2 linked regions of the Canis lupus familiaris genome follow. The protein of the gene in region 1 purifies or fractionates together with the protein of each later gene. This does not show direct contact. Links are inferred from orthologs where the notes say so. Each region holds a gene or a part of one and is shown in the gene's direction. Other genes may lie near its edges.

Region 1 (4,532 bases):
AGGCAGGACCAGAACCGTTTCTTCCTCAATGCTAGTTCCTCTACCCATCTGCATCTGCGCTTTTTTCACCGGTCACCTAGCAGTGTCTCTCAAAGGGCAGTGGGAGATGCACCTGCCTCAGGATCCCGTGGGGCCCACGCTGGAAACGCAGACTCCCAGGAAGACGCACTTTAACAAGTTCGTTAGGAGGTTCTCATACCCTGCAAGGTCTGCAGGAGGGTCCCACGAGCAGCGAGCAGCGCGCAGCGCAGCACGGGTCTCAAGAAAACGTCGCTCCGTACGTTGGCTTTAAATTGCGCTGCATCATGGGAAATGTAGTTTGGAAACTCCTCGGCGCCCGCCCCCGGGAGCGCTTTACGGACGGCGCCGAGTCGGTCCGGAAATGGCCGAAGGCTCCCTGGCGGGCCCTTTCCTGCCCGGTTGCATTCTGGGAAAGGGCAGTTTCCGTTATAGGTGCCGGAGGCTGAGGCGCGCCGCCGACCGCACTCCCACGTGAAGCGCTGCGCGAGCGTCGCTCTGCGGGGTCGCCCCCCGCCCCCCGCCCCCCGCTCGCCGCTCGCCGCGGAGCGTCCCGGAAGCAGCGGGGAACCGGAAGCGGCCCGCGGCGGCGCGGAAGCGAGGCCCCGAGGCCGGCGTGAGGCGCCTCGGAGCGCTGCGGCGGCGCCATGTCCCTGATCTGCTCGAGTGAGTGTGGGCTGCGGCGGGTCGCGGGTCGGAGCGGGAGGAGGCGCCCGCGGGGCCCCCTGAGGGGCAGGGCGGCGGCCTGTCAGCGCGGGGCCTCCTCCTCCGCGGCGTGGGATGCGTTCGCGCAGCGCCTCACGGTTGACGCGGCGCCTCAGGTTTATGGTCGCAGACGTCACCGAGGCCGAGGACCTCGCTCGCGCCTTGAGCCGGGGCCTGGACGGGGGGAGCCGGTGCGGGAGACCCCGCCCCTCCCCCCGCCCCTCCCCCCGGCTTTGCGGTCGGACGCGGGCTCTGCGCCTCAGTTTCCCCGTCTGCAGAGAGGGGGCGTTGCGGCGGGCGTGTGCGGGCCCGTTCGGGCGGGCAGAGCCTCTGCAGCTTGCGAAGGTCACGCCGCGCGTCAGAGGCAGTGGCGGGGCTGGAGCCCGGGGCACGACCACACCACAGGGCGCCTTCGCTGAGCCCTTGGCCGCCGCGCCGGGCCCGACCTCGGTGCATCCCTCGCAAGCCTTCTCCAGAGCAGAAATGAAGGACGGGGTGTGCAGATGAGGGCCTGAGGCTGGAGGAGAGTGTGGCACAGCCGGGTGGGGGCCGCTTTGAGCCCCGGAGGAGCCGTGGCGTTTTGGGTTTTTTTTTTGTTTTTTTTGTTTTTTTTTGTTTTTCCTGCCTTGTACCGTCTTCCCTTTCGGCACTTTGACGCGGCGCGCAGGTGTTTTCCCGTGTCCTCAGGCTGCTAGAGCATCCCTCTCGGATGTGCTTCCGAACTCGCAAGCCCTGAGCTCTCTCCTCTCCTCAGAACCTCTCCGGGAATCCAAACGGAGGGAGACGGGAAGGAAGGGAAATGAGGGCCAGGAAAAAGGAATCTTTCATAGCGAAGAAACTGCAGCTTTTGCAAGATATTTCACGTTCGTTGTTTGCTTTCCATCTCGAGGAAGTTTTTTTGTTTTGTTTTTGTTTTGTTTTTGTTTTTCCCCGCTCCCCCCCTCCCCCCCCCCCCCATATTCCCAGCACCATTCTTCCTTTTATTTGATGGTTTCGTTGGATGTGTACCGGGTGCCTGCTGGGCATCTGCATCGCGCTGGAAGTCAGACCAGCTGTAATCCCTGTCCTCAGAGGTGTGTAGTCTACTGAGGCAGGTGTGTTCGGGGGTTGCTGTGAGGATGAGCCCATCTATAGAAAATGTTTACGATCATGCTCGGCACCTGATACACCATATAAGTGTTTCTTCTTAATGTAACACTCGTCAGAGAGCTTTGTGATTTTTTTTTTTTTTTTTTTGGTCCAAAATCCATCTTGGCTCTAGACTGAGATTTGAGTAGCCGTGTGTATCTCTGTGTCTTCCAGTATGATGGGTGCCTGGGCATCTTTTTCCAAACGGAGACGGGTGGGGATTGATGATTGACCACTCCGTAGATGTGTGGCATGTGGCAGTTGTGTGCTAATTGTTGGTTGACTACCTGCCAGGAGAATGATGGAGAAGCTAGTTATGTAGCTGAAAGGATGCTGGGGATACTACAAAAGTAGTGTCGTGTCCTGCTTTCTGTTAGTTGAAAGTGGGGACGTGTGGTTTTGTTGGGGCCAGTAGCCTGTGAGGCATCGCCTTGCCCCAGGGTCCCTTTCACCGCCCCGCGCTCACCGCCTGCCTTTTCTCCACAGTCTCCAATGAAGTGCCAGAGCACCCGTGTGTGTCCCCTGTCTCTAATCATGTGTATGAGCGGCGGCTCATTGAGAAGTATATTGCGGAGAATGGCACAGACCCCATCAACAACCAGCCTCTGTCTGAGGAGCAGCTCATCGATATCAAAGGTGCCTTGGTGGCTGGCCTCCATCCAGGGCTGTTTTTGCTCAGAGCTTGAGAGGCTGGGAGGTGGCACCAGTGCACTGGAGGAGGAGACGGTGTTCTGTTAATGTAGGCTAAAGGGGAAAGAGATGGGGGACATGAGGAGTCCCCGGGTTAGAGTTCTTCATACCCGCTCTCCCTCTCTTGGCAGTTGCTCACCCAATCCGGCCCAAGCCTCCCTCTGCAACCAGCATCCCAGCCATTCTGAAAGCTTTGCAGGATGAGTGGGTGAGTCCCTGGAACAGAACTGATGTTTGTCTGCTTGAAGAGAAGGGATCACTGCACTAGGACTTGGGGTGGGGAAAGACGGAGTATTATTTTCTTTTTTGAGGGGCAGGATGATAGTGGAGGAGGAGCCTGGTTGTTGAAGTCCCACGGATCTGGGTTCCACAGTTAGCTCCCTTGCTCCCTTGCCACATACCCTTGGGCATATTGCTCATATGTGAGTCCTGGTTTTCCTGACTCTACGACAAGGATTTGTGCCAGTCTCTCAGGGTGTGGACAGAATTAGAATAAAGGTAGAGTATAAACCTTGCGACATCAGGGATTTGATTTATTAATTGGTATATCCCCAGCACCAAGGGTAGCACCTGGTATGTAGTGGTGCTCTGGAAGACGAATGAGTGACTACATCTTGAGTGGTCGTCTCGCACAGTACCCGGCACAGTGAGGGCAGTTGATTAATGGCAGCCTTAGTGTTATGATTCCCTTGTGGGGAGGTGACGGAATGACGTCGAGATTTGCCTATAAATCAGAGGCGATGAGGGTGGGAAAGAGCTGGCTCCCACTCCTGTCTGTGCCCAGTATTTGGTATGAGGTAGCAGCTCCAGAGTGGCCACCAGCACATTCATGGTCCCTCACGTGTTGTTTGGGTTACCAGTACTGGTCTAGGCTGTGGGAATACAGGGCAGTGTCCTCTTCATCTCTTGATCAAGGGCTGACTCTTCTGCTGGGTGTTCCCTGCTCCTCCTCACCCCCTCACAGTGGCGTTTCCCTTCTTCAGGATGCAGTCATGCTGCACAGCTTCACTCTGCGCCAGCAGCTGCAGACAACCCGTCAAGAGCTGTCCCACGCTCTGTACCAGCATGATGCTGCCTGCCGTGTTATTGCCCGGCTCACTAAGGAAGTTACAGCCGCCCGAGAAGGTGCCACCTATGCCCCAACATCCCCCACTCTGGGCTGGTCCTGCTTTGTAATACCCCATTTTTAATGTATTCTTTTCTCTCAGCTCTGGCCACCCTGAAACCACAGGCTGGACTCATCGTGCCCCAGGCTGTGCCGAGCTCACAGCCAAGTGTTGCAGTGAGTGCACCTCCCCCTTCCTGCCTGTCTTGCAGCCCCTGTGTGCAATGTCTCATGTGGCTCTCCTGCAAGTGTCCTGGGTGTTCTGTGCCTCCCTCACCTTTAACCTTCTTGTCTTCAGGGTGCAGGTGAGCCGATGGATTTGGGTGAGCTGGTGGGAATGACCCCCGAGATTATCCAGAAGGTAAGTTGTGGGAAGTCACTTGGTGGGAATGCTGGTGGGCCCTCATGTCTCACCATCTGCCTTGAATCCAGTATGAATAGAAATCCCACCCATGTGGGACTCCCAGCAGACCAGTGCAGCGCACAGACTCAGGCCACACTGCCCAAGTTCATGCCTCTGTATCACTGCTTAGAAGCTTTATGACCTTGGGCTGACTTAACCAAGTCTGTATCTCATTTTCCTTTTTTTTTTTTTACATTGAGAAAAACAGTGTCTGCTTTGTAGATCTATGGGAATTTAAAAGATTGTAATTACCGATAAGTGCAACTTGTAGCTCTTACTGTTAGCGGGGTATTGGGGTTCTTTGCATATCATAAAACACTGGTTACATTTTCACATTTTTTTTTCTCTGATGGAGACAGAAGGTGAATTACCATCTTTAGTTTACAGATAAAGAACTGACACCTTTGACAGATTCAAAGGTACAGGTCACAGAAGGCAGAGCAGGCCAGATATCAGGGCCAGTGCTGTGTTGTGCTCACAGAA
Region 2 (3,774 bases), on another chromosome or scaffold:
CTCTCTCACCCTCCCCTCCTCTCTCCACCTCCCTCCCCCCGCCCCCCCCCTGTCTCCTATTCCCTCTGCAGGAGGCCATGATGGATTTCTTCAACGCCCAGATGCGCCTTGGGGGTCTGACCCAGGCTCCTGGCAACCCCGTCTTGGCTGTGCAGATTAACCAGGACAAGAACTTTGCTTTCTTGGAGGTGAGCGGGTTGCATTGTGGGGTCAGAAGGTGTGTGTTCTTTCTCTGCAGCAGCCTTGATCTGCCCAGGGCCCTTCTGCAGGCTGTGGTACACCCGGCACCCTGATCCTCATCACTGTACCACCACCTTCTCTTTCAGTTCCGCTCAGTGGATGAGACCACCCAGGCCATGGCCTTTGATGGCATCATCTTCCAGGGCCAGTCGCTGAAGATCCGTAGGCCTCATGACTACCAACCCCTGCCTGGCATGTCGGAGAACCCCTCTGTCTACGTCCCTGGTGAGTGGGGGCCTTGTCCCACGCTTCCCTCTCCAGCCCCGCTGGAGCTACTTGGGAGATGGCATGAATGCTTCTCATCCATCTCCCCAAACCTTAGGAGAATGCACAGTGGCTGTGGGAGGTGTTGAGGGAGGTGAAGGGTTTGCTGCCTGGCTGTCATTCCTGCTCTGGCTCTGGGACTTTGTGAGCATAAGCGTGTGAGCTCATAGTGTGAACACAAGCAGTTTCTCAGTGTGGGGTCGGCTGCTGGACGTTCCCTTGTCTGGCCTCTGTTTCTCCTGACTTCTGTGCTTTGGGCTATTCCCCACAGCCACGTTTAGTAGTAGTCTGGGTCAGTGGAGATCATAGCAGACTGGAATCGGTGATCTTTTCCTGAAAAGGGTCAGATAGTAAATATCTTTGGTTTTGTGGGCCATACCGACTGGGTCACCTGGGTCACAATTGTTCTGTTGTGACGTGGCAACCTGTATGCCGCCTCGTGATAGCTGAATGAGTGGGTGTGGCCCTGGTATATTACCCACACGTTGTGCAATAGCTTCTAAAAAACCTTGCAGGCTATACAAAAAGACAGCCGGCTTAACTCGACTTACAGGCTGGTTGCCGTCCCCTGTGGTGAGATGGGTGAAAGTGAGGATTTGTGCCTCTGGGAGGCCCTGTTGGAGTGCAGGGAGCAAAGTGGGCTTGGAGAAGCCAGTGCTGTGGTGGAACTGGGGGGCCTGGATCTTAGGTCCCTGGTGTTCTCCCAGTAAAGGTGGTAGGCATGGATGGTCTGGGCCAGGGGGTGGGGGGGAGGAGCAGAAGGTGGGTTTCTGCTGGCTGAGGCTTCGCCCTGAAGGACACCTTTTAGAAATCGAGTCCACTGCTGACAAAGCGGGGGACATGGAGTCCCAGAGAGGGTGACACCTCAGGACTGGGTGCTGGTTCCCTGCCTTGTTTCCAGTGTTTTCCACCGTAATAAATTTGGTAAGTTTGGTGGATCTAATGTTTCCGGTAACTGAGGCGTATTTTTCGATGTTGACATGTACTAAGTGTTTGATCAGATGATTTCTGTGTGGGTGCACGTCTGTGAGAGCATTTCTAGATGAAGTTATAGGCCGTTGCTTTGTATTAAAGTGAATCTCTTTTTAAGAGTTTACTTTAGAGAAAGCGTGCACATGTGCGCAGGTGGGGTTGGATGTGGGGCGAAATCTGGAGCAGACTCCACACTGAGGGCAGAGCCTGACTGTGGGCTCGGTCCCACAACTGCAAGATCATGACACCTGAGCCAGAATCAAGAGTTGGTACCTAACTGATGGGAGTCAGCCAGGCGCCCCTGTGCAAAATAAATTTAGTGTTTTAAGGTTTATTTTTTTAAGGGTTTTATTCATTTATTCATGAGAGAGGGAGAGTGGTAGAGACAGGCAGAGGGAGAAGCAACCTCCCTGAGACTCACTCCCAGGACCCTGGGATCACGACTTGAGCTGAAGGTGGATGCTCAATCACTGAGCCACCCAGGTGTTCTTTTTTTTTTTTTCTTTTTATAAAGATTTTATTTATTTATTCATAGAGACACAGTGAGAGGGGCAGAGGCACAGGGAGAGGGAGAAGCAGGCTCCATGCAGGGAGCCTGATGTGGGACTCGATCCAGGGTCCCCAGGATCACACCCCAGGCTGCAGGCAGCGCTAAACCTCTGCGCCACCAAGGGCTGCCCCCACCCAGGTGTTAAGATTTTTTTTTTTTTTTTTTAAAGATTTATTTATTTATTTTTATTTGTGATAGAGAAAGAGGCAGAGACACAGGAGGAGGGAAAAGCAGGCTCCATGCCGGGAGCCTGACATGGGACTCGATCCCGGGACTCCAGGATTGTGCCCTGGGCCAAAGGCAGGCGCCAAACTGCTGAGCCACCCAGGGATCCCTTCTTAAGATGTTTTTAATTATATAAGGAGCCTGCTTACTTGTCGAAGCTTACTATGTCAGGCACTTTGCCGAGTGGGGTCCATGGATCAGGTTAGTTTTTGTGACAGCTGTGTAGTACAAAGTCTGCAACTGACAGCTAGGGGTCAAATGTAGCTTACCAGTAAGCCTGTTTTCCTAAAGTGGGCTCTGCGTCCGGTGTGTACTCATGTACTCACTGTACTCCATGTACTTCAGCAAAAGGCATGTGCTCCACCTTCTGAGCCAGCCAGGTGCCCCTTGCCCATTTTTTTAAATAAAGATTAACTGGCACAGAGCCGAGTCCACTCGTTGTCTAGCGTCTGTATGACTTTTCTGCAGCAGCGGTCAGTTTGGATGAGAGACCCCGTGGCCCACAAACTGAAAATGTTTGCCACCCAGCTCTTTGGTGAGAGGCTTGCCAGCCACTGTTGTGTGTACCGCGATCCTGTTTCAGACCGGAGGAGAGCAAGGCAAGGCATGATAATGGTCTCTAGAGTTGGTGCTGTGCGGTCTTCCATAGCACCTTCTGACACAGGCCCTTTACCGTGTGGGAACAGAGACCTCGCGGGTCAGGGATAGCTTGTATTGGATCGTCTTCCCAGATTCATGGGCCCCTTTCTAGACGTAACTATTGGCGTGACTAAGCAGCTGAAGCGTGGGTCATCATCCATCTCTGTTCTTTGGGATTTGCTCACCCAGAGGGACCTGAGGGTCTGCAGTACTAGTGCCTGGGCAGGTGGCAGGAAGTGTGATTGTGCTTGTAGATTGAGCATCTTCTAGTTACCTTTTCATAGCGAAGTTCATATTTCAGTCTTCATTTTTTGGTTTAAAAAAAAAAACAATTTTATTATACAAGGAGGCTAAAGAGGAAAGCATGTGTGATAAAATTTAGCAGATGTTCTTGGCTGGAAGAGAAACAGTTCAGGAACCTGGAAGGCAACTTTCTGACCTTGATGGAAATGTGTTGATTAAACATGCATCACTTGGGGTTGTGAAATCTTGAGTTCATCTGCCCCTGAAGTCAGGCCTTGCTGTTGAGTGCTGGTGACAGGATCCTGGTGGTTCTTTGAAGACAAGAGGGAGACTGAGGTGGGGGGTGGGCCAGAGCTGTCTTTGGAAGCAGGGGAGCCCAGTAGTTATTCAGTGTGAGTTCAGCTCAGCTGTGAGCACCCGCCCACTGCCATGCCAGGCTCCCTTCCCCGTGCAGGGCCGAGTCCTAATCCCCCCCCCCCCCCCGCCCCCTCATCAGGCTCCTGCCACTGGGGCCTCACCCCCATGTACCCACTCCCTTATACCCACTCCCTTGGCAGAGTCCTATTCTGCCTGGTCTGGTGGTGAGTGCATGGTAGGAGAAAGTGGTATTCTAGGCACAGGGAAAGATTGCTCAGCCTTTG

The links. The genes of interacting proteins can lie anywhere in the genome.
Region 2: the proteins of PRPF19 (region 1) and U2AF2 purify together in Homo sapiens (affinity purification with western blotting; 3 studies listed by BioGRID, with this or other methods). This does not show direct contact. The link is inferred for Canis lupus familiaris from reciprocal best matches to the Homo sapiens genes PRPF19 and U2AF2.

Annotation. Positions count from the first base shown.
Region 1 is NC_049239.1:55,997,991-56,002,522, forward strand, and holds the start of PRPF19 (pre-mRNA-processing factor 19), read left to right. Parts: upstream 1-1,708; 5' UTR 1,709-1,723; coding exon 1,724-1,796; intron 1,797-2,337; coding exon 2,338-2,487; intron 2,488-2,672; coding exon 2,673-2,749; intron 2,750-3,524; coding exon 3,525-3,666; intron 3,667-3,749; coding exon 3,750-3,823; intron 3,824-3,944; coding exon 3,945-4,007; intron 4,008-4,532. Other genes in the region: TMEM109 (transmembrane protein 109), read right to left, coding at 1-54. UniProt on the Homo sapiens protein: Ubiquitin-protein ligase which is a core component of several complexes mainly involved pre-mRNA splicing and DNA repair. Required for pre-mRNA splicing as component of the spliceosome.
Region 2 is NC_049222.1:102,847,327-102,851,100, reverse strand, and holds part of U2AF2 (splicing factor U2AF 65 kDa subunit), read left to right. Parts: intron 1-71; coding exon 72-188; intron 189-326; coding exon 327-465; intron 466-3,774. UniProt on the Homo sapiens protein: Plays a role in pre-mRNA splicing and 3'-end processing. By recruiting PRPF19 and the PRP19C/Prp19 complex/NTC/Nineteen complex to the RNA polymerase II C-terminal domain (CTD), and thereby pre-mRNA, may couple transcription to splicing.